Linked DNA regions of Pelodiscus sinensis. The protein of the gene in region 4 binds, or shares a complex with, the protein of the main gene of each other region. Links are inferred from orthologs where the notes say so. Each region holds a gene or a part of one and is shown on either strand. Other genes may lie near its edges. The genes, in order: LAMTOR4, LAMTOR1, LAMTOR2 and FNIP1.

Evidence for each region.
Region 1: FNIP1 (region 4) and LAMTOR4 share a complex: the UniProt entries of both Homo sapiens proteins name them as parts of the lysosomal folliculin complex. The link is inferred for Pelodiscus sinensis from reciprocal best matches to the Homo sapiens genes FNIP1 and LAMTOR4.
Region 2: FNIP1 (region 4) and LAMTOR1 share a complex: the UniProt entries of both Homo sapiens proteins name them as parts of the lysosomal folliculin complex. The link is inferred for Pelodiscus sinensis from reciprocal best matches to the Homo sapiens genes FNIP1 and LAMTOR1.
Region 3: FNIP1 (region 4) and LAMTOR2 share a complex: the UniProt entries of both Homo sapiens proteins name them as parts of the lysosomal folliculin complex. The link is inferred for Pelodiscus sinensis from reciprocal best matches to the Homo sapiens genes FNIP1 and LAMTOR2.

The regions. Positions count from the first base shown.
Region 1 is NC_134734.1:7,555,304-7,561,897, forward strand, and holds LAMTOR4 (ragulator complex protein LAMTOR4), read right to left. Parts: upstream 2,616-6,594; 5' UTR 2,488-2,615; coding exon 2,485-2,487; intron 1,769-2,484; coding exon 1,688-1,768; intron 1,513-1,687; coding exon 1,395-1,512; intron 796-1,394; coding exon 698-795; 3' UTR 515-697; downstream 1-514. UniProt on the Homo sapiens protein: As part of the Ragulator complex it is involved in amino acid sensing and activation of mTORC1, a signaling complex promoting cell growth in response to growth factors, energy levels, and amino acids.
Region 2 is NC_134711.1:325,258,556-325,265,706, reverse strand, and holds the start of LAMTOR1 (ragulator complex protein LAMTOR1), read right to left. Parts: upstream 3,024-7,151; 5' UTR 2,860-3,023; coding exon 2,818-2,859; intron 1-2,817. UniProt on the Homo sapiens protein: Key component of the Ragulator complex, a multiprotein complex involved in amino acid sensing and activation of mTORC1, a signaling complex promoting cell growth in response to growth factors, energy levels, and amino acids.
Region 3 is NC_134734.1:16,810,738-16,818,081, reverse strand, and holds the start of LAMTOR2 (ragulator complex protein LAMTOR2), read left to right. Parts: upstream 1-4,329; 5' UTR 4,330-4,421; coding exon 4,422-4,489; intron 4,490-5,846; coding exon 5,847-6,009; intron 6,010-7,137; coding exon 7,138-7,227; intron 7,228-7,344. UniProt on the Homo sapiens protein: As part of the Ragulator complex it is involved in amino acid sensing and activation of mTORC1, a signaling complex promoting cell growth in response to growth factors, energy levels, and amino acids.
Region 4 is NC_134727.1:26,104,955-26,112,324, reverse strand, and holds the start of FNIP1 (folliculin-interacting protein 1), read right to left. Parts: upstream 3,022-7,370; 5' UTR 3,000-3,021; coding exon 2,770-2,999; intron 1-2,769. UniProt on the Homo sapiens protein: Binding partner of the GTPase-activating protein FLCN: involved in the cellular response to amino acid availability by regulating the non-canonical mTORC1 signaling cascade controlling the MiT/TFE factors TFEB and TFE3.

The DNA.
Region 1 (6,594 bases), on a different chromosome or scaffold from region 4:
CCCCTTCCAGCTGGGAAAGCATTGCCAACTCCACTCCTGACCATGGGAAGGAAGGGTAGGTCCTGGCTGTGCCCCCCCCTGCTGTGGGGACTCATTGGATCCAGGCCTCCTGTGCACTTTAGTTACATGTTTTTGTTATTTATTTTTCTCTAAAGCAGCTGCAATTTGGGTCTGAATAAATTACATGAGATGGAACCAGCCTTGCTCTGTGTGTGCACTGGGGGTGGGGGGCATGATGGGTAGAGACCCTCTGTGAGACTGGCAGTCACCCTCCCCCAGCCAGGGCCAGTGTTGGAGCAGGAAGAGTGCTCACTGTTGCAGCTCCCCACCCCAGCCCTTCCTAAGAGGTTGTGTAGAGTGGTGCTGCCAGAGCTGCTCACTGAGCATCACCCCCAGGAGTTGCCCAGGAGGGAGGGGGGGGAGGGGCAGGGGAGAAGAGGAGAGAGCTGAGGCCCATGGGGAATCATGAAGGGGTACAACCCCCCCCCCCCGGAAGCAAACCCCCCCCCAACAGTTAGGAAAGACACTTTATTCCCCCACAGTTACAGCATGGCATGTGCCTGCCCTCCCTCCTCCTTCAGGGGGAAAGGCTCCCCCTTGCCACACCCTTACAGGTCAGGCTCTGAAGTGGGACTCCCCTTCCATATGTCCCAGCTGCACTTCACTGTATTCCCTGCTCCCCCTCCCTCCCACTGATTCAGACAGCAACCGGCTCCCGTCCATGGTTCTGCCGCTTCACCACAAAGATCTTCTGGCCAGAGACAGTCACCAGGAAGGAGTGTTCCCCAAACACCACTGTGGGGAGAGAGGGGAAGACAGTATAAGACCACCACCCCCCAAGGGGGAAGGATAGGGCTAGAGTACCCTGGTGAGGGGGGTTACAAACCCAGTGTATGCCCCAGTTTTCCCCCTGCACAAGTCTGGCTGCTGGGAGAATGGGGGGGGGGGGGGGAGAAGAGAAGAGATACACAATGAGATGGTTTGCACAGCAGGCTCAGACCCCTGGGGCATGGTGTCACCTACTGAGCCCAGGTCCCAAGACTTGGGCACCCAGGGCCTAGGTGCAAACCCCAGGCTGGGTGGAGCCAAATGCAGTGGGTCATAGAAGCAGGCTGAAGGCCAGTGGATGCCATGCTGCCCCCCCAAAGGAGGAACACCCCTTGGGGGCTCAAGGAGGGGGTGGCAGTGACAGCAACTTAGGGAGGGAAAAGGCATTACAAGGGCATGGAGTAGAGTCCTTCCCTGGTGCTCCATGATGTGGGCACTGAGGGTGTGAGCTGCATACCATCTCGAGGGGGATAGGCCCCAACAACCGCCAAGCCCCCTTGCTCCCCAGCAGCTCTGTCCCCACTCAAGGTCAGTCACATTCCCTTACACTCCCTTCCCACACTCACCAGAGAGGCGTTTAAAGGGGGGGTCAGGGCTGCGCTGTAGCCGGAACCCGCAGGCTGTGCCCACCAGCTCCGAGATCGCTCCCGCCATGTGCTCAGCGTTCTCTAGCTCACCAGCTGACTGCAGGGCCAGGAAAGGGAACAAGGGTTAGGGGCGTGCCCCCCTAAACTCCCTTGCTCTGGCCCACCAACCCCCACTCCCCTCTCAGAGCCAGGTGAGAACCCAGGAGTCCTGGCTCCGCAGCCCTAACTCACCTAGCCCATCCCCCTCCCAGGCTTCCGGGTCCCCATCTCACCGCTAGCACGGCACCATCGCAGATCACCAGGTAGCCCAGCTGGTCAGGGATCCGCTCCAGCCCCTGGGTCAGCGCCGTCGTCTAGGGGAAGAGGTCAGGGTCAGAAGCACAGGGGGGGGGGGGTGTAGCTCCCCTGGGCACTGAGGGGCTGTGGGTGACCACAGGACCAGTCAATCCTTCCCGTAGGGGCCAACCCGGAGGTGATGGAGCAGATACCACCCCCCGCTCAGTGCCAGTCCGTGTGCATGGGGTGAGGTGTCCGGCCCGCTCAGTGCCACAGCGGGGGGGGGGGGGGTGTCCGGCCCCCGGGGAATCCTCCCCCCCCCCGGTCAGTGCCACAGCGGGGGGGGGGGTGTCCGGCCCCCGGGGAATCCTCCCCCCCGGTCAGTGCCACAGCGGGGGGGGGGGGTGTCAGGCCCCCGGGGAATCCTCCCCCGGTCAGTGCCACAGCGGGGGGGGGGTGTCCAGCCCCCGGGGAATCCTCCCCCCCCCCGGTCAGTGCCACAGCGGGGGGGGGTGTCCAGCCCCCGGGGAATCCTCCCCCCCCGTCAGTGCCACAGCGGGGGGGGGGGGGTGTCCAGCCCCCGGGGAATCCTCTCCCCCCCCCCCCGTCAGTGCCACAGCGGGGGGGGGTGTCCAGCCCCCGGGGAATCCTCCCCCCCCCCGGTCAGTGCCACAGCGCGGGGGGGGGGTGTCCAGCCCCCGGGGAATCCTCCCCCCCGGTCAGTGCCACAGCGGGGGGGGGGGGGTGTCCGGCCCCCGGGGAACGCGCGGCGCGGCGGGAATCCCCCACTCACCATCTCGAGTTAGGCGCTGCCGCAAGCGTTACAATCAGTTGATCATCAGCCCCGCCCCCTGTTATCCCCTTCCTTCCACCGCATTGGCTGAAAGCGCTGCCAGTCAGCTGCCGTCCCGCGCTGCCATTGGCGCAGAGGCGACGCCCCGTCCCCACCAGTTAGCACTGCCATTGGCCCGCCAGCCTCTGAGTTCCGGGCTATGGCCTAGACCCCGCTGCTGCATATTCCATGAGTACATGAATATTCATGAGGTGGAACCCTAAAGCTCAAGACAGGTGCTGCCCGCCGGCCCAGGCCCGTATTAACCCCCCCCCCCCCCGGGCCCGCCCTCCCCAGCAGCCGGAGGGGCGCGGCGGGCAGGTTGGTGCTCCCGTGCGTGGGGGGCCTCCCGGAGGCTGCTTCTGCCTGTCAGGCCTTAGTCAACCCCGTGGCCCTCCTAGCACCCGCAGTGCAGGGCACCCGGAGGACTTCGCTCTCTTGCTGGGTATCAGGCTTTTATGGGCTCCCCAGGGCGCCATTTATGGGGAGCAAGGGGCAGTAGCGCCCCCAGCCCCTGGATTTCATACTTGAGGTCTGCTTGGGGTTGCCAGGTGGCTGGTTTTCCACCCGCAGTCCGGTATTTGCGCCCTCTCGCCGGTAGAAAAATTCAGAAAATACCAGACGGGTGCAATGTCCCATATTTTCTGAATTTCCAGCTGGGCACAGGACAGAAGCCTGGCGGAGGCAGAGGAGCAACTGGGAGGCGGGGCCGCGATTGGCACTGGGAGCCCCGTGGTCACATGCAAAAGCTGGGTGGGGGTGGGGCTGGGGGCAGGAGCTGGGACTCCCAGCCACTCCCCCCTGCCCAGCTTCTCCATACAATCAGGCTGTGTCTAGACTGCATCCCTTTTCCATAAAAGGGATGCAAATTAGACACATTGCAATTGCAAATGAAGCGGGGATTTAAATCCCCCCCCCCCCCCGGCTTCATTTTGCAGAAACATGGCTACCGCTTTTTTCCAGCTCAGAGCATTACCGGAAAAAAGCGCCAGTCTAGACGTGGTTCTTTCGGAAAATAAAGCCTTTTCTGAAAGATCCCTTATTCTTCCCCCCTTCCTCCTGGCCAGCTTCGCAGCCCTCAATGTGCCCCCCCCTAGCCCTGCCTCTCGCTCCTCTTCCTCCCAGCCAGCACTGCTCCCCTCCCAGCCAGTCCCTCCCCCCCACCCACAATCAAAGTATTTTGGGAGGGGTCTACCTGGTAACCCTACGTCTGCTTAAAGCCCAAGCCCTGACTCCAGAGGCAGCCCTTAAACAGTTTGAGCTGCTTGCAGCTTTGCCTTTGGGGCAGGGAGTTTGTTATAAACAGAGGCAGGTGATTAAGAGTAACAAAGGCCTGGGCAGTCCAGTAACTGAAGGATTGTTAGATCACCATGAAAACATTGCTGGGTTTTCACTTAAAAGATGGGCAGGGAGCTGAGTTGGGGAGTAGGAATGAGTGTTGTGCTGCTAGGATCTGCATTTGGATCACTGCTGTTAAACTTCTCATAAATGTTCTTGAAAAAGGGGTGAACAGGGACTAATCCAAAGCTGACTGCAAAGAGTTACAAAGGGATCTCACAAAACTGGGTGATTGGGTAGCACGTAGTCAGATAGAATTCACTGTTGATAAGTGCAAAGCAATGCCCATGGGACAATATAATCCTAACTATATGCACAAAAATGATGGCGTCTAAAATAGCTGTTACCACTCAAGAAATAGATCTTGGAATTCTTGTGGACAGTTCCTTGAAAACATCTGCTCAGTGTACACTGGCAGTCGAAAAACTAAAAAGCTAGCAGAATACTGGGAATCATTAGGAAAGGAATAGATCAGTGTTTCTCAACCAGTGGTACGAGTACTGAATATTTTAAATAGAAAGGTGGGATTAAAATATTTAAATTAATTAATTAATTAATTAATTAATTAAATACCCTTAGGGGTACGTGAGAGAAGTCTGGGGAAGGATGGGGGTACATCAAGACAACTAATATTTGGAGAAAACTGAATTTTTGTTTTGTTTTACAGTGCTTTATTATTTTTGTACTTTTTACATCCAAAAATTTCATCGCTTGCCCAGCTACGATTAAGTTGTTTAAACAAATGTGTTGCAATGATAGAACATTTTTGTGTGTGTCTGCAGGGCCGGACTGAGGCCTTTTGGTGCCCGGGGCCCGGGCGCGCGGTGCCGCCCCCAAGCACAAGGCGCATGCGCGGGCCTGCCCGTGGAGCACATGCCCGCCCTCCCCCCCCCCGGGGCGCACGGCATATGCGCACGCTGGCCCCGGCTGCTGGCACGCAGCCCAGGGCGCTCGGTGCATGTGCTGCCCAGCCTGGCTTGGTTAGTGCTGCTGGCGCGCGCGCCGGGCCATGCAGGGCCCTGCAGCCATCGGGGGATGGGCGCTGCTGACCGGCACCGTGGGGATGCGGGCGGGCCAGCGCTGCAGGAGCCGCGCGCCCCTTACAGCTGCCATCAGGCGCCCCTCGTTGGTTGGTGCCCTGGGCAGCTGCTGTGCTCACCCATGCCTCCGTCTGGCCCCGTGTGTCTGAAAACTTTAAGTACTGGGTGGTACTTTATTAAAAAAGGCTGAGAAACACTGGAGTAGATAAGACAAAATACCAGATCGCCTCTATGTAAAGTCATGGTATGCCCACATCTTAAATACTGTATGCAGATCTGGTAAAAAAAACCCAATGGGATTTGGAAAAGGTATAGAAAGGAAACAGAAATGATTAGGGGTAAGGAACAGCTTCTGTATGAGCAGAGATTAACAAGACTGGGAATTTTCTGCTTGAAAAAGAAATGACTGAAGGATGGGGGGAATATGTTAGAGATCTAGAAAATCATGAGTGGTATGGAAAAATAGACTCAGGAAATAATATTCATTCCTTCACTAACATAACACAAGAGGCTGACCAACTAAATTTATAGGCAGCAGATTTCAAACAAACAAAGGAGGCACAGCGGATCATTTGAGGATTGCCTCTTCTGTTCACGCTTTCTGAAGCACCTGGCCTGACCACTGTTGGAAGACAAGACAGGGGGCTAGAAGGACTATTGGTTTGACTCAGTGTGGCCATGCTGATGTTCTTATATATTTCAGCTCTACATATCTCCCCCTTGCTCTAACTCCCTAGACCCCACTCCCCTTCCTGAGCTGAGACAGATCCCTGGAGTCCTGACCGTGTCTGTCTCTCCACAGAATCAGTAACAAAATAAGAACGTACATTAAAATTATAATGCTAACCAGTGTCCCTTACATGACTTGCCACAAGATGTCAGAATGTGCTAGTATTAGAACTGAGTGGGTCTAATATTTATTTTTCTTTCTGTTAGATAGGAATTAGATACAGTGCTCCTGCTAAATTGTCTGCCAAAAAAAAAGTAGAGTTTTCCAGTGCCTTAGTAGCCCGTGGATAGAGACGTGTACGTGGGGGAGGCCAAATGGGGTTCCCTCCCACATTTGGTGCTTGGCTTGTATTCAGCAGCTGTGTCTAGACTGCATCCCTTTTCCATAAAGGGAATGCAAATTAGACATATCGCGATTGCAAATGAAGCGGGGATTTAAATCTCCCCTGCTTCATTAGCATAAAAATGGCTGCCGCTTTTTTCCGGCTCGGAACTTTGCCGGAAAAGAGTGCCAGTCTAGACGCGGATCTTTCGGAAAAGGCTTTATTTTCCGAAAGATCCGCGTCTAGACTGGCGCTCTTTTCCGGCAAAGCTACAAGCCGGAAAAAAGTGACAGCCATTTTTATGCTAATGAAGCGGGGGAGATTTAAATCCCTGCTTCATTTGCAATTGCGATATGTCTAATTTGCATCCCTTTTATAGAAAAGGGATGCAGTCTAGACACAGCCAGCATGTTCAGTAACGGCTGAAGCCTATGTCCTCAGTCCACCCCTCATGCACTCACTCTTTCCACCACCCCCATCATGCTGTGCACAGGTCTCCCCCCCTCCAAATCTGAAATAGCATCCCTGCCCATTGCCCCAGCAGTCAGTGCTTCCTTGGTGCTGCCAGAGCAGCAGATTTGGGAAGGGGGGTGTGCACAGGGAAGACATCACTTGCCCACTGGCTGATAAGCCTTTATTAA
Region 2 (7,151 bases), on a different chromosome or scaffold from region 4:
CCTCCATACTGGTGCATATAAAATTCATTCGGCACATGAACCATCTGTGGGGGGGAGCAAGGCCAAGGGATTCAGAATGTGGGAAAGGGCTCAGGGTTGGGGGGGATGAGGGCTCTGGGATGGGGCTGGAGATGAGGGGTTTGGGGTGCAGGAGGGGGCTCAAGGCTGAGGCAGACGGTTGGGATAACAAGGGGTACAGAATCTGGGATGGGAAGGAAGGGTTTGCAGTATAGGCTGCTTTGGGGAGAAAGGGCTCCCCCCAGTCTTCTCCCACCACAGCAGCTCCGGAGCAGGTAAGAGGCACCTCTCTGCTAGCCATGGAGTCTCTGGTGAGGCTGGGTTGGCTGGAAGAGGGGCACCTCTCTCCCAGTGATAACAGATTCATGCTGCCGGGGACAGCAGGGGGGAGAATTTTGAGAAGGTGCCTCTTCCTGGCCGTGGCAGCTCCCTGCTGGGACCAAGGAAAGGGGGGCTCTCCCCAGCCTGCGGCAGCTTGGTGAGTGCCTGCCCGGGGCTTATTAGGCAGCCGTGCAGCGTAGCGGGAATTTAGCACCGGGAGTATGTTGGCAGTGGTGCCACATGATACACACAAAACAATGATTTGGCTGGTGCAAACCCCCAGGAGGGACAGGAACGCAAAGGGACTTGGGGTTACAACCCCAGACTAAAGCTGCCAGGGGAAGTAACACTCATTCATTTGTCTGGCACGTCTGCTCAGCCAATCAATGAAGCTGCCTTGGCTTTTTATCATGCCAAGGGTGAGTGCCTGTCCTGATCCCTTTCTGTAAGGCTTATGGAGAAAGATGATTTAGACTTCCTAAGGACAAGATCTGGTCAGCTGGACACTAGAGTCCTAGGGGAAGAAGCGACAACGCCATGGCTTGAGACAACTCGGGTTAGTTACATCTGGCTACGGGAAAAAAGTCACTTTTGGCCAACTCATGCTAGCCACGTCCTGCCTAAAATAAGCCTTCAAGACTAGACTGGCCAAGATGGTAGCAACTACACTGCAGGGACCAAAGCAGGTGGGATGGGAAGCACCTGCCAAGCCTCCTCTCATTTCTAAGCTTCTGTCCCTGCTTTTAGATCTGGTTTGCCATCTACTGGGGAAAAACCCCACAATTGTATGTGGCTGAATGGTGACCCTGCTGCACCCTCCCAAAAGTAAGCAGTTTCAACAAACACTTGAAGACAAAAGATTCCCTTTAAGCCCCAGGAGCGGGGAGCATCAGCTGGGTAAGTACACAAAGCCTGAGGAGCAGCTGCTCACTTTGTGGCCAAGGACAAGACTCTTTAATAAAAGTTCAGCTATTAATAGAACTCCTGCCGGCAGCTCCAGGCCCTCTTGGCTTTCACTGGAGAGCTGCCTATAGTGTAGCCTGGGCCGAGAACAGAGGAACGGCAATTTGGGATGGCACAGAGCTAGACAGCTACGAGGCAGGAGGGTGGGATTCAGAAATGACTGCTGTCACTCCTGCCTGCCTGATGTTTTGAACGCTTCAAAAAGCAGAATGATGGGTTCTCCTGACCTCCCTGTATCCACACCAGCGGGAGGCTTCACCCACTTGCTGCCATAGTGCAACTCCTCCCCCACAGCAGGGCTTTTACGCAGATCCCTTCTTACTAACAACCTGAGTGGAGACAAGGCCTAATTCTCTTTGCCCAACATTAGCAGTGTGGCTAGACTAAGGTTTAGAAGGGCTGTTGATGGAAAGTCTTAGTGAGCATGCTCAATAACTTCAGAGTAGGCAAGACAAGCTGAGCTTAGCATGTGTTGAACTGCTTGAGTTGAAGCCGACAGTAGTGCCTAAGTTTCCATGCAATCAGTGTCACATTCTGACCCCTGTTCCTCATAAGCCGAGCACTTGGGCAGCCACCCAGGAGAGATTCAAATGCTGCCCGGCTGATTAGCAGAGCGCCCACAGCCACCAGCACGTGTTTCCATTGGCAGTGCACACCCGCACGCGCCTCAGTGCATATAAAATTTATTCCGTTTGTGGGTGGAAAAACTGAAGAGGGAACATTGATTCTCACCCCACACCATTAAATCCTACATTGTAATAACCCTGCCAAAATGTGAAGGGCATGGTGAGGAGGCCCAGTTGGATAGCAAGGATTTGCCGTCATCCCTGCCCAAATTCTCCCTCCAAACATCCCTTAGTGGGGAGCTCACTGAAAATCAGCTGGGCCCATTTCCTAAGGATACCCTGGAGGTCCTTGGCTTTACAGGCAACAAAATCAACCCAGTCCCTGCTGGGTTGGGGGAATCTTTTCTACCCCTCACCCAACCTGCCAGATGCCACCTGTATCTTTCTGGCAAGAGACACTCCAGCATTTTCTGAGATTTTTTTACTGACGTCTTTCTAGCCACAGCCCAATACTAAAAGGCACGGATGTAGGTTTCAGCAACACAGAAACTCCCAAGGGACACTGTGGTACACAGCTGCATTGAAGCTACAGGAGCCCAAGAGGACTTAATCTTTGTATTTTGTCAATTATGGTTTGGAAAAAGGCCCAAGAACGAGATAAACCCTCCTAGGCCACCTAACTCCCCCACCTAGCGACCCCAGCCTAGCCCCCCTCCCTCCCAGGGACCCCCCCCAACTCCCCCACCTAGCGACTCCAGCCTAGCCCCCCTCCCTCCCAGGGACCCCCCCCCAACTCCCCCACCTAGCGACCCCAGCCTAGCCCCCCTCCCCGCATGTGCCCCCCCGGGTTCCCGTCTCCCCGCCCCCGGGACCAGTCTCCAGGGAGCCCGAGGCGCCTGCAGACCCGCCCCCCGCCCGCTCCGCCCCCCGCGGGGGCCCCGGGCCGCACCTGGTCAGCGGCCTCGTTCTCGCTGCTGTAGCAGCACCCCATGGCCGGGCGCGGCGGGGCCGGTCTCCCGGGAGGGGGAGGGGAGGGACGCGGTACGGTGTCCGGCTGGGGCCCTGCCGCCGCGGTCACATGAGCAGCGGCGCCCGCCCCTCCAGCCAACAAACAAGCCTGGGAGGGGAGGAGGGGGAGCTCATTCGCCCTTCCCGTTCGCCGCTTCCGGACACGTGAGCCGGAGCGCCAATGCCGAGCGCGGAACGCGGGGGCCCTCACGGCACGTGAGGAGGGCGAGCCAATCGAGCGAGGCGTGGCAGGTCACGTGATCGGGACGCCTTCCAGGAAAGGAAGTGGCGGGGGACGGAAGAGAGACAGAGAGGGGCCTCCCGCCACGTGAGGGCGGCGCGCCAATCAGCGCTCAGAGAAGAGGGTGGCGCGTGACAGAGGAATGCTGTCACGGGCTGGGGGTGCATGAACCTCCCCGCTTCCCCGCTGCTCCGGGGGCGGGGCCAGGAAACCCCCCCCCCCCATGTCCACCTCGGCACGGGGCCTGCCCCCCCAGGATGCAGGGGCGGGGTCTGGCCCCTCCCAGCACAGGCAGAAAGTGGGGGGGGGGGCTGTGAGGCTGCAGCCAGCGCAGTGACCGGGCTCCCCCCAACATACAATCCTCCCCCCCCCCCCCGCCCCTATGGAGACAGCAGAGACAGCAACGGGGGGGGGGGCAGCTGCACGTTTACTCCAATAAACGCATTAATCCAGGGGTCACCACCCGGTCGATCGGGACCGACCGCTCGATCTTGGAGCCTTTGACGGGTTTGGTCAAGAGGCTGCCAAGAGCTGCACTTCAGCTGCCCCTCCCCCCACGGCTGCCTATCTCCTGCCCTTTGCCTTGGAGCTGCCCCCTCCCTGGGAACCTCCTGCTTGCTGTACAGAGCAGGGAAGGGAGAGGAGGGGTGCTGATATCAGGGTGCCCCTTCTCCTCCTGTATTCTGTCTCCACAGAGCAGAGCGGGGGCACAATAGGGCTTGGGGTGGAGGGATTTTGCTGGCTGCTTTTGAGAGTGGTGCAGGCCCCACTGCACCACCACCACCACCCAGGAGCCACCTGTGGTAGGCAGTGCTCAGCTGGAGCCAACTCTGATCCCCTGCCCCAGTCATGAACTCCCTCCTGCACCCTAAACCCCTGCCCCAGAATCAGCTCAGAGCCCCTCTCACACTCCAAATCGCTTAGTCCAAGACCAGAGCCTGCACCCCAACCCTCTTCCCCTGCCTGGTGAAAGGGAGGGAGAATAGGGGTGGGAGGGAGGACAAGTGAGCAGGGGCAGGGCCTCAGAGAAGGAGCAGGAAAGAGGCGGGGCAAGGGTGTTTGGGTTTGAGGTAGATCTTGGATTGCATTTACATTCAAAAAGTGATCTTGTGCTTAAAACAGAGACTACTACATTAATCCCTACTCCGTGGGTTGCACCTACAACGGGGGGGGGGGGAGCACGCTCCTAGCTCGAGTTTCCCAGCCAATAACTGATCCCAGCACTTTTGTAAGGGCCATTTCAATCACCTGGTGATGAAGTAGCATTTGAAATGCTGGAGCGGACAGGGACAGAGTGACCTAGACAAGTTGGAGGATTGGGCCAAGAGAAATCTGATGAGGATTCATCAAGGTCAAGTGCACTTGGGACAGAAGAAGCCCGAGCACTGCTACAGGCTGGGGACCGACTGGTTAACCAGCATCAGAGGGTTAGTCGAATTAGTCTGTAACTGGAAAAACTTAAAAAAACAACAAACAGTCTAGCAGCACCTTAAAGACTATCAAAACATGTAGATGGTATCATGAGCTTTTGTGGGTACAACCCACTTCTTCAGATGAAAACCGGCAGTTTAGCAGAAGAGGATCTGGGGATTACCGTGGCCAAGAAGCTGGACATGAGCTAACAGTGTGCCCTTGGAGCCAAGAACACTAACAGCATATTGGGCTGCATTAGTAAGAGCATTGCCAGCAGATCTAGAGAAGTGATTATTCCCCTTTATTCAGCACTGGTGAGGCCTCATCTACAGTATTCCATCCAGTTCTGGGCCTCCAATTACAGAAAGGATGGACATTGGAGAAAGTCCAGCAGAGGACAATAAAATGATTAGGGGGTTGGAGCACATGACTTACAAGGAGAGGCTGAGGGATTTGGCCTTATTTAGTCTGCAGAAGAACAGGGGAGATTTGATAGTAGCCTTTAACTACCTGAAGGGGGGTTCCAAAGAGGATGGAGAGGGTCTGTTCTCAGTGGTGGCAGATGACAGAACAAGGAGCAATGGTCTCAAGGTGCAGTGGGGAGGTCTAGGTTGGATATTAGGAAAAACTATTTCCCTGGATGGGTGGTGAAACACTGGGATGGGTTAGCTGGGGAAGTGCTGGAATCTCCATCCCTAGCGGTTTGAAGTCCCAGCTTGACAAAGCCCTGGCTGGAATGATCTATTTGGGATTGGTCCTGCTTTTAGCAGTGAGTTGGACTCAACTTCCTGACATTTATTTCAGCCCTAGGATTCTATGAGTCTCCAGTTCAGAGACTTAAGTTATTGCACCAGGCTGGTGTTTTTGCTGGAAAAGCTCCTGTGACGGGTTGGATCACAAGCTCCCCTTGGAGCTATCACCTAGTGTGCTGATCATGCCTCTGAGCCTGCCTACCTGCCGCCTGGGATGCCCCACCACTCTGTTCTCCTGGGCCAGGAACTCTGATTTCTCCCAGCCAAAAGGGGCCAAAATGCCAAATAAATCCATTGTATTCTGTGTAAAAGCTTTATCCAGAGAAAGTCAGGGGCTGCGACTAGACTGGCATGATTTTGCAGAAATACTTTTAACGGAAAAGTATTCTTGTGCAAGAGGGCTTATCCCCGAGCGTGAACATCAAAGTATTTCCACAAGAAGCACTGAATTCTTACATGAGATCATCAGTGCTCTTGCGCAAATTCAAGTGGCCAGTGTAGACAGCTGGCAAGTTTTTGCACAAAATCTTACCAGTCTAGACACACCCTGTAAGATTCGCTCTTTTTATCAATGAAAGAGAAATATGCACCCTTTCCCACGGTAACACTTCTTTACACCGAGCTTGATAATAAAAGTGGTTTTATTAAGTACTAGAAGGTTTACCCGGAGTTGCTCTGGTTCTTAAGACAATTTTTGGTTTTTTTGGAAAATAACATGAAAATGTCCAGGCTGCATTTGAGTCATTGCTCTGGGGTGGGGCTGGGGACGAGGGGTTCAGTGTGCAGGCTGCCCTGGGGAGAGAGGACTACCCCAGCCTTCTCTCACTGGAGCAGCTGGGGCCAGATGAGAAGTGCCTCTCCATGGCCACTGCAGCTGGAATGGACACCCCTGGGGGAGCAGTGCATCTGCCCCAGCTGGGGAAGGTCCAGGTTCCTCTTTCCCTTGCATTCCCCAGCCAGAGTGAGGCATGCAGTCTTTGCCCCCACCCCCCACACAAACACCTGAATTGTGAAAACTCCCCCTCCTTAACAGGAGGCACCCCGATGGTCCCATGGGCGGCGGGTGAAAGTCGAGCTGGGGAAGGCAAGCCCCCAGCCTCGCGCTTTCTGCTCAGGCCTCTCCCCCATGGGAGCCAATCCCCTCCCCTTCCCGGATAACCACAGGGAGGTGGGGTGGCACATGGCCCAAGCCTCCCCGGCTCTGGAGCATGGAGAGGGCGGGTGCGCTACAGTTGTCGTTATGGGTGGGGCCCGGTGGCCGTTTGGGAAGACGATGCCTTACTCCGCCTATTATACCTGCCGCTCCTGTGCGCCCTCCCCGCCATGACTGAACGAGGCCCAGCCCATCTGCCCCAGTTCTGGCCCTAGCTCCCTGCCCAGCCTGAACCTCCCACCCCACCCCCCACCAAGCCAGTCCAGTCCCAGCTCCGGTTCTGAGGCACCAGCCCCCCACGCACCAGGCTGGCCCAATCTGCTGCTCCCCACAAGCGCCAGGACAAGGCACTGGGCCCTCCCCCAACCACTTCCCTTTCTCAGCACCAGGCAGAGCCTGGCCAAGCTGCCTCACTCCCCTGCCAGAAGCCCTGGTTGGCTGCCCACTGGCTTGCCACCTTCCTCCTCACCCCCCTCCCAAGAAGAGGAGGAACACAGTGAGGGGTGGGGAGAGGGACATGGCAGGGCCACGTGGCCCAGGCATCAGGGGCAGGTTGGCAGCAGGGAACGCTTAACCTTCCTGTGCCTGTTATACCCGCCACCCATGCCTGAGCATGTGGGCAAGACCCACCAGCCAACACCCTGCGAAAGAATTCTCTGCAGTAACTCAGAGCCGTCCGGAGCAACGGCCCCGGGCCCCACTCTTTGGGGGTGGCC
Region 3 (7,344 bases), on a different chromosome or scaffold from region 4:
AGCCATAGGCAATTAGTTATATTGGCCCATTGTGCCTGTGCTCCACCAATACTCAGGAACATGGGCCCAACTCCAGCAACATTTGGGCTGATATTTTGAGAGCCATCCTGTCCATAGGACAGACTGGGACAACTGCCCTCTGCTCTGGAGGGCCCTGTGCTTCTGGGGGATGCACAGACCAGGGCTGCCTGGTGGGCTTATCAGGGGGGCCTGGTACTAGCAGCATTTCCACCCCACCATGCCCCCACTCCACCTTTTCATTCAACCCCCACCCCACTCCTCTTTCCAGCTTCTGTCTCTCCCCTGAGCAATGCCAGGAGCCAGCAAAGTGGGCCAGAGCAGGGAGAGGTCACTTGTTGTTGCCAGTGCCAGGCCCCCCACTAATCCTTCAGGCCACCCTGGACCCCCAAAGCACAGGGCCTGGGATAGTTGCCTCTGGTCCTGATCTTGGGCCCATTCTGAGCACCACTGAAAATTACATCTAGCCCAGTATCCTGTCTTCTGAAAAGGGTTAATGCCAGGTGCCCCAGAGGGAATGAACAGAACAGGGAATCATTAAGTGATCCAGCCCATGTCACTCATTCCCAGCCTCTGATAAACAAAATCCCTGCCTATCCTGGCTAATAGCCAATGATGGACCTACCCTCCATTAATTTATCTAGCTCTTTTTTAAACCCTGTTATAGTCATGGCCTTCACAACATCCTCTAATGAGGAGTTCCACAGGTTGACTGTGCATTTTGTGAAGAAATACTTCCTGTTTGTTTTAAACCTGCTGTCTGTTAATTTCATTTGGTGACCTCTAGTTATTTTGTTATGGGAATGAGTAAACAGCACTTCCTTATTTACTTTCCCCTCAACAGTCATGATTTTATAGACCTCTATCATATTCCCCCTTAGATGTCTCTTTCACAAGCTGAAAAGTCCCACTTTTATTAACCTCTCCTCATTTGGAAGCCATTCCATATCACCAATTCATAGGATACTAGAACTGGAAGAGACCTCAGAAGGTCATCAAGTCCTACACACATGGCTGGACCAAGTATCATCTCATCCCAGATAGATGTTTGTGTTATCTGCTCTTAAAAATCTCTAATGATGGAGATTCCACAACCCCCCTCGGCAATTTATTCCAGTGTTTAACCACCTTGACAGTTAGGAATTTCTTCCTAATGTCCAACCTGAACCTTCTATGCCATTGCTTCTTGTCCTATCATCAAAGGTTAAGGAGAATAATTTTTCTCCTTTCCCTTCTAACAACCCTTTAGGCACTTGAAAGCTGTTATGTTCCCTCTCAGTCTTCTCTTTTCCTGAATAAACAAACCCAGTTCTTTCAGTCTTCCCTCATGGATCATGTTTTTTAGGTATTTAATCATTTTTGTTGTCATATCCACAACATGGAACAAGGTTCTATGACAGCTGAGGATGGAGTGTCAGGATCAAAGGGTTTCATGGGGATAGAATGTGGAGTCAGAGTGTTCTGTAGTAGCTGGTGTTGGAATATTAGGATCAAAAGATTCCGTGGCAATTAGGCTGGGACAGATTGGAAGGGACAGTTCTGAGTGATAGTTGGGAATGGGCATCTGGAGTGAGAAAGAAAGATAGGAATGAAGTGTGGGGAAAACCCTGTCTACACTGAATACAACATCCGTATTCAGAGCTGTGCTAGTAGTTAATTATGGCCAGGGCTCAACAAATAATACAATCTACTTGCCCTTGGTGAGTAGATTGCAACCCGGAAGAGCCAGGTTCGGGTGATCTGCACATGCGCAGATTTCCGGACAGCACGGCTGGCGAGTGGGACTCGCCGTGGTTCGGTGAGCCCTGATTATGGCTATCCAGTCTGTTGTGGATAATGCCTGGGGATATCAGCAGCTGATATAATGTTAGGTTTCAGAGTCATGTTAGTCTGTTTTAGCAAAAACAAAGAGTCCAGTGGCACTTTAAAAACTAACAGATTTATTAGTGTATTAGATTGTATGCTTTCCTGAGTTACAATTCACTTCCTCAGATTCTGAAGAAAGAAAGAAAGAAAAAAAGAAAGAAGCATAAGGAAGATTTATTATTAATTATGTATAATAATAATATTCAAGATCCACCCTGTATGTTTTCTGAGATAGCAACAAAAAGACACCAGAAAAATACACCACTACCTATTAGGCACTGTCTACCACAGCAAAATTAGTGCTCATATTTCAATAACTACAACAAGGGGGCAGTTGGTGCGTGGCTGGTAAAGACAAGGCCTAGTCAGTTCTTCTAATGTGTGTATCAATCTAAGGTCTTTATATGGCCCATTGGCCACCATTATTTTAGTATCTGAGTCCCCTCCAACCTATAGAATATTATCCTGAAAGTAACCCCATGTGAGGCAGTGCTGTGCAGATGCCCCCAGTTTTTACATACAGGGATTGGAGGCATAGGCAGATTAAATGATTTACCCAAGGTCACACAGGAAATCTATGGCAGAGCAGGGAATCCTCAAGTCCCAGTCTAATTAGTGATAAAGTCTGTTGGAAGGAGGGTTCGAAGGCTCCTCCCACACTCCCCCAGGAATGAGCTGTTGCAAAAGAACTATAAAAAGCACTGGAGAGTGCTTGCTAATCTCTGATAGGCAACTAGTCTCTTAATGTAAGTAGCTGTGTGTGAAAGTAACTTAGTTATTTGATTCTTGACCTTTTTTAGGGGTTATCTGTGCTACAAATGTAATTATTGTGGGGCTACAATGTTGTTAAAGCAGCACTTGGGTGAGGGTAATTCTTCTCCCCCAATATTCTTCAACCCCCCTTCTCCGCCAATATTCTTCAGCACTGTCAGTTGGGGGCAGACTTTGGCAAAATGGCTTGGTTTTGCTGGGATACTTAGCTAAACTTAATTAAGTTTAAAATTCTTTGGAGGGGGGACTACAGAGTCTATCTTGCTTCACAATTAGGCCTTTGATGTGTTACTGTAATATGTGTATACCTGGGTCCAGCCCAATGGAGCCTTTTTTTTTTTTTTTTTTTTTTTTTAAACAAATCAGGAGTCCCTATTTGGGGATGAAATGGGATGTATGCTCCTAGAACTCTGAAGGAGGACAACTGCATTTTCATTGTCCTCCTGAACAATGTTCCTTCTCTCTTCCATCCATGTGTGTAGCTTTTTTGTTTTAAGGACAGTGGACAGTCATACATGCCTCAGTGCACATTAAAAAAATTGCTATCTGTGAGTGCTCTGCTAATCAGCTGAGTGATGTTTGAATCTCCCCTGAGTGGCTGTGCAAGTGCCCAGCTTTCAGGGAACACCTGTGGTCATGGTGGTGGAGTGCAAGAAATGTGGCCTTCAGTAACATACTGCATTAGCTTTGCTTCCTAGACTGATAGCTGTCCCTGCATAGATACAGAATTCTCTGTCCTTAAAAGGTACACAGGGCTAAGAAGAAAAAAGTTTCCCAGTTCACTCACGCACCTGCCTATGCTTTTCTTCTACTGCCCCCACAGGGATTGGGGGTACCTGGGGTAGTAGAGAATTTTATAAACAGATGGGACCAGCAATAGGGAAAATGACACTGATAGGGCTGCAGTGTCATCCCTGCCCAAATTATCAAACTCCTGGGTCAGGTCTGCCAGAAGCCATGAGATTGGCTTAAAAATGACAAGATCTTCCAAAAATAACATGTATTTGCTTTTTTTTCCTGAGTCTTTAGATGTCATGCTTATCAGTTTTTCCTCTACAACTGCAATGTCCCCAGACAGTAGGTTGGTGGTTTTGTTTTGAATCACCAGCCTCCTCATATTTGGTGTCTGATTTCCAGCATGAACACCTGAAGTCCTATAGAAGTCAGATAGATATGGAGCTGATGGGTTTTTTGCGGGGGAAAAAAATCTTGTAAATGTGACCTACATATTCCTAAAGGCTCGAAATCCAGCAAGCAAATAAAAAGAACACAAAATTGTTCTAGGGGGCTGACCCGTGGGTCTCTTTCTATCTCTTCCCTTTCTACATGCTTGGCATTTGCAACATGGCAATCGTGAAGTTTAGAAACTTTGTTTTCATGAAAGCTGAGGTTCAACTGACTCCAGCAGCTGGGGATGTTAAAAAGACCCAAAATGTGTGAGTTGTCTGTAGCTTGTATGAAGGTAAATGGTATGTTTCCTGTGGTGTGATTACAGGAGATCACAGTAGTTGTGTGAACTGCTAAGGACTGGGGTCGTTTGGTGTGTAGCACCAGCGGTATGCTAGTCACCCACAAAGAGAAATTGCCCTGCAATCTGTGTGCATGAAATGCCCTGTCTATGCAACAGAACTGGAAAAGAACTACAACTCCCAGCCTGCTGTGGGCTGAAGTCGCCCTGCACGGGTTGATCAGCTGATGGGGAAGCAGGCTCTCTGAGCTGTGTGTGTTTCCACCACTGCAGGGAGGAAAAAGGATCTGTTGCTACCATGCTGCGCCCGAAGGCCCTAACCCAGGTCTTGAGCCAAGCCAACACTGGAGGGGTCCAGAGCACCCTGTGAGTATAAAGGGAGTGGTGGGGGAGAGGAGTGGGCATGGCTGGGTATGGATCAGGGAACCCTGTCCCTGAAGTATTGTGACCAGATCAGTGGTCCCATTAAGGATTAGTGCCCCCTCCTCCAAAGGGTCTTCCCCTCTCCCTACATCTCCCACTTCATGCCCCGGTAGGAACAGAGACATCTTGGTGGCCCCCCACCCAGCTTCAGTTGTGTTGTACAATTCCTTTTCTGAAAAGTGGGGAGGAAGAAGCAGCCCAGTGCACCCTAATAAGGAGTAGTCCCTCCTCAGAGGCATTAGATGTGGATGGGGGGGGGGGGGGGTCAGCATTCCCTGTAAGCTGAGTGCTTGCCTTGGACAGTCACCTAGGAGAGATTCAAATGCTGCCCAGCTGATTAGCAGAACACTTGCAGTGCCCACAGCCAGTAACCTATTTCTGCTGGTGGTGCACATTTGCACATAAATTTTATTTTCCATATGGGTGGAAAAAATTAGAGGGCACATTGATAGGGGTAAAAGGGTCTGGCCAGGACTTCCTCCAGAAGGCATTGTGGGGGACAGGGGATGGGAACTTGGAGAGCAGATTACTAATATTTTCCCTGCTGAAGCCCTGGGGAGAGGTATGTCAGTGAAGTACACTTTGGTGTTGTTGCATGCAGGTAGTCTGTTTTTCTTGCGTAGATCTTCTCTGTGCTGGGTCTGCATGTGGGTAGCCACATGAAGGCAAAGAAATGGGGGCGGGGAACAGTTGCATCTGTATCGCCTGCAAATCCACAGATCACTCTTACAAATGCAGATGTGGATACAAACGTTGAGGCTGTGCCAGGAGTTGTGCTCCCAGCACTGTAGTCTGGTTCACACTGGCACTGTGCTGTAACTTACTGCGCTCAGGGGTTGCGGGGGGGCACCCCTGAGCCAAAAAGTAAAGTGCCAGTGTAGACTTAGCCCGTGCGCACTCTCAGGCTGAGGCTGTATCCAGAGCAGTATCCACAAGACAGTAAAATAAAAAATTTGGGAGGTCCATTCCCCCACAGCCCTCTCTTCCTAGGAGCTGCTGCACCCATGGAAAAAGAGCACCCCTGCTAGAGAGGAAGGATGGTTTGGGGTGTGTAAAGTAAAGCTCTGCCACTGCCTTATCTGCCCTTGGTCTTATCACTTCGCCTTGGATACCCTCTCTAAAATGAGGGTGAGACATGCCTCAGAGGGGATGTCACGAGATTCCGTGTGTGTTCTGTCTGATCAGATACTAAGGTGATGAGCACCATAGAAACCCCTATGAGTGAAGTCCGTGCCTAAGCAGAAGTGGCACAAAACCCTGTGGGCTCTTGGCTCAAATTCTCCCCCTCTGTCCTTTGTAGACTTCTGAACAATGAGGGATCTCTACTTGCGTATTCTGGTTATGGAGACACAGATGCCAGGGTCACGGCGGCCATCGCCAGTAACATTTGGGTGGCCTATGACAAGAACGGTCACCAGGCTTTCAATGAGGACAACCTGAAATTCATCCTTATGGACTGCATGGTACGTTGTGAGGTGCAGGGATGGGGCAGGGATTCATTCCTACAGGAAAGGCTCAGTTTTTCAGCAGTAGAATGCTGCTACATGTCTCCGCTCTTATCAGTTTAACCCATAGATCCCTGAAACAGATGTGGAATTGGATCACAGGACTCCAGATGCCTGTTCTCCGCTCTTCCATGGACTGATATAGGTTAACTGCCTCTTTTCTGCCTCAGTTTCCCCATGTATAAAACGAGGATAATAGCTGCACCGTGGGGTAAGGCTGAAGTTCAGATTAAGTACTTAGATGCCATAGCAACACAAGTTATCCAAAGCCAAAACTTGAAGCAGGTTGCCATTCTTCCTTCTCCCTCGCACACATGCGGCTGAAAGATCTTATTTCAGAGCAAATGCCTTGCTCTTTAAGAATGACCTAGGCTTTCAAGTGTGATGGGACAATCTGATGGGATAATGTTGGTCAATTTGTTTGATCACCTTGTGCAGGGCAGTAAGAACATAATACCTTGCTCTGAAGCAGCATTCTATCATCAAGTCTCAGGGGTAGTTGTGTTAGTGTGTATCCACAAAAACAACAAAGAATCCATTGACACCTTAAAGACAGATTTATTTGGGCATAAGTTTTTGTGGGCAAAAACCTGCTTCGTCAGGTGCATGGAGTGGAAGTTACAGAGGCAAGCATTAACATACTGTACAATTTCCATTCCATGCACCTGACGAAGCAGGTTTTTGCCCACAAAAACTTATTCCCTTATAAATCAGTCTTAAGGTGTCACAGGAATCTATCATCAGTAGGTTTCTAAGCAATTCACAAAGGAGGGTCGTCTCCAGTCTTACAAATGGGAAAGAAATGAGGTGACTTTCCAAGGTTAGCCAGTGCCAAAACTGGAAAGAGAATCCAGGTCTCTTGAATTCCCAGCAGACTGCACCACAGTGCCTTCCCAGTGGAGATTTGGATCCCCAGTGTCTGACTGTAAGAGCAGAAGGTTAAAATGTCCGGGACATGGGGGTTCTAGAGTGGAAACCTATCCTTCAAATCCTCTTTTTTTTTTTTTTTTTTTTTCTTCTTCCCTTCTGCCGGCCTCCCCTTCTCTCCCTCTTCCACCCCTCCCCCCCCCCCCCCGCCAACTGCAGGAGGGTCGTGTTGCTATCACTCGGGTGGCGAATCTCTTGCTGTGCATGTATGCAAAAGAGACCGTTGGATTTGGGATGCTGAAAGCCAAGGTGATGCGGAGCTGCCGGATTGCATTTGGGGCGGGGGGCAGCTGTGTAGCTGCAGTTTGAAAAGTAGATTGGTGAACTCTGCATAATATGAGTGGCTCTCTAACTGATGTGGGGGAT
Region 4 (7,370 bases):
GCTAAGAATTATCTCCATTTTATAGATAGAGAAACTAAGGCAGAGAGAAATTATGCAACTTGCATAAAGGAAGCCTGTGACAAAATAATATTTAGGTCTTATAAAGAGAAGCTAGTATTTTAACCACATGACCATCCTCGGCCCCCATCTGAACTTCTCACCAAGACACAACAAATATTTTGAGGATGCACTGGAGATTTAAGTGCTCACCAGCAACTAGTGGGCTATCCAGATCATATGCGAAATTGTATTCTTTTTCATGAAGTATGAGTCTGATTCTACTTTCATACAATATTTGGAATTCAGGCAAGATCTTAAAGTAAAATACCTGTTTCATAACCTTATAGCTTTAAAGGAATCCTGTGCATTATCCAAGGATTGGATGTACTTTCACTTTCTTTTATAAGAATATAACTATTATGCTTTTCATTGATTTTTAGCACAGCGCTTAACAAAGACCAATTTTTCAGAATTTTAACACTGGAAAATTCAGTTTAGCAAAATATAATAGTAACAGAACGTTAGAAAGACACTTTTTATTAACATTTCATAGTATGTTTCCCCATTTACATTTATATTGAAATTATAAAACTTAATCTGAATATGTCCACTAACAGATTCATCATATAAAAATATCTTAAATGTACTAGCAGGGAGGTAATTTTAAATATATGCATCCTGTCCTGGCACACAGTGTTCTGTATTAAAGAAAGGGGAGGAGGAAGACCTCAGAAGATGATATAGTAATATTTTCTTCCTTACAACACACAATCCTAAATATCCCTAGTGTATGGAACACAGCTGTTGAGTTGTACACTAAATCCTCAGTAGAAGTTTATCATTAAGAAGTGTCTGGACAGCATAAAAATCAGGTAAAATATAATTGGCTCTCTCTCTCTCTCTCTGTTAAAGAAGAAATTTTGGCCCACCCAGTATGTCAGTAAAATAAAATAAATTACTCAGCTGGAAAATGAAATGGAGGTGTTTGGGAAGCTATAAACCAATTTTGCTACAGGTGTATTCCAACATTTATGGCACTGGATTCTAGGTTATTTCATAAAAACATGGAAGATCAATCAGTATGCTGTGAAAATGGTTTTCTTGAGAGAATAAATGGGTATGTTTAGTATTTACCATCCCCGATGTTTGCAGTGACTGGGTCTCAGGAACTACAGAAAGATGGTACTGTAATCCAGTACAGATCCAGAGGGCAGCCCTCAGGTCTACATGTTACCCATCACATTGTGTAATGTAACTTACAAAGATATTTAAAATATTAAATGGAGAGCTGTTCCAAGCAGTCAATTTAAAATGTAAATATTCACACCCCGCAATTCACACCAACAAATGCAAAGTGTTATTTACATGTCAGTTACAAAGTCATGATAGTGGTTTAAATTAATAGTTTGCAACTAGACCAGATTTTTCTACACAAATCTACTAGATGGTTATTGCTCTGTCTATCCATTACTACTGTTATTTTATAGACCCTAAAATACCTTTGGCTAGATCAACCTTTAATCTTATTTTTAGAATTTTGATAAGTTACAATAGGGACAAACTGCCAAAAGTGTAGTTCTGGTCCTGATTTTTAACTTTACACTGGAGTCCTCATAAAAAACTGCAAATTCAAGTCCTTATACCACACAGGTGTCCCTGGATCTCTAGGGATCTGCTTTCTCCAGACAACAAAAAACCATATTCTGTTAGCATTTTAGAAATACAGGGAATTACACATACAATCAGCTTAAATTGAAACGTTTAATGTTAAGAGATAAAGGTGGCGAAGCATTTGTAAGGAGGGTGCAAGCATTTTTCTTGCAGTCTTGTGTTTGGAAGCTTAGTGGATTCAGTTTTGTTGTGGTTAGATCATGACAGATTTTAAGAGTAACCTTACACTTCTGTTGGCAGCCTGCATTTCATATTTGCTCTTCCCTCTTAGTATTTATTAAGGTGGCTCTTTCCAGATAGCAACCACCTCGCCACTTCAAGAAAGTCAAAAGAATGGCGTCTTTTTTAGGGGGCTTGTTAAATCTGCAGCCTCAAAAGTGCGTCAAAACATCAAAGGCAATAAAATAAAATAAAATAAAGTTAACAAAGGAATTGGAGGACGGGGAAAGGGAAGCGAGAAATCCCAACCCACGCCAAAAGGAAGAGTCACAACCTAATCAGAGGAAGCAACCCATCTTGGGAAGCGCTAAGAGGCTACTTCTGCTTTGCAACTTTTTTACAAAGAAGGACGGCAATGAAAATAAGACTTGTTGCAGAGCGAAGGGCTCGGGGGGCCGGGATCCCCAAGGGGTTGCGTTGGAGGAGAATAGACGGAGGGCACCTTTAGGAAACACTCGGGAGAAACAATGTTGCATGCGTCCCAGTGCATTGCAAAAAGCGCATCAGGGATTTCCGTCCAGCTTCTTGTGTAGCGGGAGGAACCCAGGCCAAGAAGCCTCTCCACTCCCAGGGCTCTCCCGGGAAAGGGGCTGGGAAGAAGGGAAAGGAGGCAACACACCAAATGTGTGTGTCAAACGGGGGAGGGGAGGATTGCAGGGGGCCAGCTCAGTCAGTGTATCCAATCCTGCACACCAGAGCCCTCCAGACAGAGCGCAAAATCACCCCCCCCCCCCGATCCTCTCTTCTCTGGCCTCTTCCATAGCAGGGGCGAGGAGTAGTTTGCATCAGGCAAACAGGCTAGAAAGTAACGAACTGGTCCAAGTTTGTGAGCACGGGCGAGAGAGAGGGAAGGGCTGCCCAGGGCTCCCCCCGCGTTACCTGAAGACACACTCCTCCCTGGAGTCCCTGGCAGGAGAACTCAGCCCGGGCTTCTTGTTGAAGAGCTTCTGGAACAAGGTGGGTGGCATTTTGGGGCGCGCTGCTCCCCGCTGCCCCCCAGCCTCCTTCTCTCCCCGCTGCACCCAGCGGAGGCGCTGGGGCTGGAGCAGCGAACTCCTCCGGCAGGCAGCTAGTTCCGCGAACCCGACTCCATTTGGTGTCACAGTCATATGACAAAAATTAGTCACTTGGAGCTGCCAGAAGAGGAGGATCGCAGGGAGGCGGGCCCGGGAGGGGTTTCTCCGGGGCCGTGCACCGCTGAGTGGCTGAGGCCCCAGCACCACGTGGGGGGCTTTTCTGCTCAAGCAGGCCCGCTAGGTTTTGGTGGGGCCGGGGGAAAACTGGACAGATCCAGCTATTTTTTGGCCGCAGCAGCAACCCCCTCCCATTCCACTGTTAAATGGAGAACAAATCGAAGCTCTCCTAGGATACCGAATCTAACGCCGGGGCTGCCAGGATCCCATTGCAACAGCCTTGCTCCTGCACGTAGCTCCTGTTTGATCCAACTAGGATTCCCCTGATCCGCCCACAAAAATACAGAACGAGTGTGCAGAGACCTCCCTCTCTCAGCAAAGCCCCCATAGGGCCCGGTGCACCTCAGAGCAAATGGTTTAAACCGCTAGGACAGGGTACAGGCGGCCGGACGGATCTGAATTTTTGCTCCTCGGGGGGAAACAGTCTCTGCCTAAATAGAGAATAGACTCCAGATGCAACAGTCGAACCTCATGGGCCCCAGCTCAGCAAGGAGGCAAAAAACTGGGATCTAGTGTCTGATCTGGTAACTCAGAAATTGTTTCGGCATCTTAGGAAACATTTCCATTTTCCAGTATGGTCTGGATTATTCTGGTAGAAACTGTATCTGACGGTACTGCATTAATTGGTAAAACTGGGGAGGAGGGGCCGAAGTCACAAATAGCTAAATGTAGTGGGATGCAGGTGAGTCTTTACAGCTTTCTTCTACCAGGATTTACTAGAGGCCAGAATTTCTTCCTCGAGTGCTAGAAGTGCCACTTGTTCTCTATTTTGATGGGACAATTCCTGAGTTCTCAGGTGCAACGAGAGTGGCAAAAGAGGATTTCTGTTTAGGCAGTGGAATCTGTGGAGAGCTAGACCCTGGCAGAATCCAGGTGCCAAATTGACCTATTTCCAGCATTGCTGGATCCTGCTGCATTAGGGATCAGGTGTTTTTTGGTGTAAGAAGAGCATTCAGCTGTTCTCTCTTCATATGGCAGAATTAGAGTGGTTAGAGCCAGAGACTGGCCAGATTTAGCAGAATTTAGGTGCTGAATCCAAAATATGTGTGTGTGTGTGTGTATATATAGACAATGGGAATTGAAGACTCTGGTATAAAAAATAGGAGGCTCCCCCCCACTGATCCAGCTTTTTACTTTCTTTCCTTCATAAAGAGTTGCCAGTTACAGATTTAAGAGACTGTGCCACAGTGCAGTATCTGAATGAAAGCAAAAGTGACTCACGTGGGCGGTTCAGACTATACAATACCCAGAGAAGGAAGGTGAAGATTTGCATGAAGAGGAAGCTTCACATTATAAACAAACCAAATGTTACAAACTAGCTTTAAAGTGGTAACAACAAAATAATGAACCAGGAAGAAAACAGACAAGCTGGATGAGGTAGTAACTTTTATTGGACCAACTTCTGTTTTCTCTTTCACCACCAACAACAAAAAATAGTCCAGTAAAAGATTTTCATTCATCTCCCCTCTAATATTTTGGGACCCACACAGTTATAACATTACTACAAGCAGGAAAACAAATTACAGTTTAAGCAAGTATCCCTCTTTAGCCTAAAATTGGGTTTTACAAGAATCAGAGGGAGCCAAAAGTTTCTGCACAAACTATTAAATACTTTGGGAAAGCACCTTTAAATAATGTATTTAAAGGACAATTTTGGCTTGGAGTTTAGGATTCCTCATCAGTGCCTACAATGCACACATTTTAGCATTGTTTTCTAGTTCTGCATTTGTACAAAGTTAACTAAAAGCTAACTAATGAAGGTTAATGAGTTTCCGTTTATCTAAATGGAGTGAAGTAAAACTGCATGCTGTCAGATTAATTCAGATAAACACACTCTCAATAATCTAAGTAATTTCCTTTAGTAGCTCTCAGAATGAGTTTTTAAAATATTACTAGCACATTTACCTGGCATTGCTTGGGTCTTTAAGGAGGGGCTCAAGGCAGAGGGAGTGCAGGATCTCAGGACAAGGGAATGAGTAGGGGACACAGGGACACCTCCCTCCAAGATTCATATCAGGGCTTCTTGCTCTTCTCCTTCCTATTCCTGTCAGGGAGGGAGAGCAAAGTGCACAGCTCATCTGCCCTCTGCGCTCCCCAGCCAGAGTAAGGGGCAGAAAACTGTGCACAGTCCCCTTGCTCCCTGATGAAGGGGAACAGCCAGCAATGTCCTGTACAAATCTGGGAAGGGAGAGCTTCAGCCATCTTGCCCTCATTAAAGTGTCTGGTGGATGGGAGGCTCAGGACTGGGACAGTTCCAGATTGGGGGGTGCCCTCATTTAGTCCCTTCACCTATCTCCTTTCTGTATGGTTTTCTGAGAAGCAATCCTATTCTAGTCACATCCTATTTTTCTGCACAACCAAACCCTAACCTTGCTTTAAGTTATGATCAGAGGATGCTGTATAGCGAATTTGGTGGTCCTTGATTTTACTGTTTAGGAGTTGGGCCCCCCACTACAAAAAGGATGCGGAAGCATTGGAGAGGGTCCAGCGGAGGGCAACCAAAATGATTAGGGGTCTGGAGCATATGACCTACAAGGAGAGGCTGAGGGACTTGGGTCTGTTTAGTCTGCAGAAGCGAAGAGTGAGCGGGGACTTGATAGCAGCCTTCAACTTCCTGAAGGGAGGTTCCAAAGAGGATGGAGAGAGGCTGTTCTCAGTAGTGACAGATGGCAGAACAAGGAGCAATGGTCTCAAGTTGTGGTGGGAGAGGTCCAGATTGGATATTAGGAAAAACTATTTTTACTAGGAGGGTAGTGAAGCATTGGAATGGGTTACCTAGGGAAGTAGTGGAGTCTCCATCCCTAGAGGTGTTTAAGTCTCGGCTTTACAAAGCCCTGGCCGGGTTGATTTAGATGGAATTGGTCCTGCCTAGAGCGGGGGGCTGGACTTGACGACCTTCTGAGGTCTCTTCCAGTTCTATGATTCTAAGATAAAGGGGATGGTTGGATGAAATAACATGATCGTGGTAACTAATTGACCATTCATTATCAGTTGGAAATAGGTCAATGGAGGGATGATAGGAGTTGCTATAGGGAACTTTCTGGGTGTCTGGCTGGTGAGTCTTGCCCACATGCTCAGGGTTTAGCCGATCGCCATATTTGGGGTCAGGAAGGAATTTTCCTCCAGGGTAGATTGGCAGAGGCCCTGGAGGTTTTTCGCCTTCCTCTGTAGCATTGGGCACAGATCACAGCTGAAGGACTCTCTGCATGTTGGGGCCTTCAAAGTATTTGAAGGCTTCAATATCTGAGACATAGGTGAGAGGATTATTCTAAGAGGGGTGGGCGAGATTCTGTGGCCTGCACTGTGCAGGGGGTCAGACTAGATGATCATAATGGTCCCTTCTGACCTTAAAGTCTATGAGTATGAGTTCGTGAGCAGACAAAGTCTCTCAACTATATAGTAGATTATTGTGACAGGAAGTTACCTTTCACTATGCACTTTTATAACCTATTAAGGTAACTGTAGTGGAAAGCAATGAGAGAAACTTCCTTGTTGCTAGTTTGTGTACAGGAAGAGGACCTCTGACTAGACTTGGGTTTTTACACACTGCGTGCATCAGGGAATCACAAAGAGTACACAATTCTATTATACACACACAAAAATATACAGGCGGCATTAAGTAGTTTTCCCCTTAAGCTGGAAACACTTGAAATCAAAAGCACCCAACTGTAATTTACTTTTACACTTTTTAAATACAATTTGCAAAAAGACTTAATATCTAATTAAGTCAAATCTCTACCAAATATGTATCTATTTTAATCACTGAAATATATAATATAAATAATTCCAGGGTAGTTCTTACATAGGCTGTGATTCATCTGAAATTACAGTTACAATCCTTCAAAGAGATATTTTGGCCTAAATTTCTCCTGGGGAAGTCCCCTCGACTTCAGCAAACAAGGACTGCTCCTATGAGAGCTGCCTGCACAATTAGGCCCTAAAGTATTATACAAGCAACTGACTGTGACCTGTAACCTTTCCCCACTAATACTAAAGAGCCATTTTCCACTTCCAGTTTTTTTGTTTTGTTTTTTTAGTCCGGACTCAAAACATGGGAAATGCCTAACTGGTATAAAAAACAGACTAGGAGTGGTTGCTGTTGTAGTTTCAATATAGAATTTTCTTCCTGGAGCTTAAGAGGAGATAAAATGGTAACTTCTTATACTATATAAAATACTTAGGCTGTGTCTACACTATAAGGTTTTTGCACAAAAACCACCTCAAGCACGCTTTTGCACAAGAAAAATCGACAGAACAGAGAGCTTTTGCTAGTAGAGTTATTTCTTT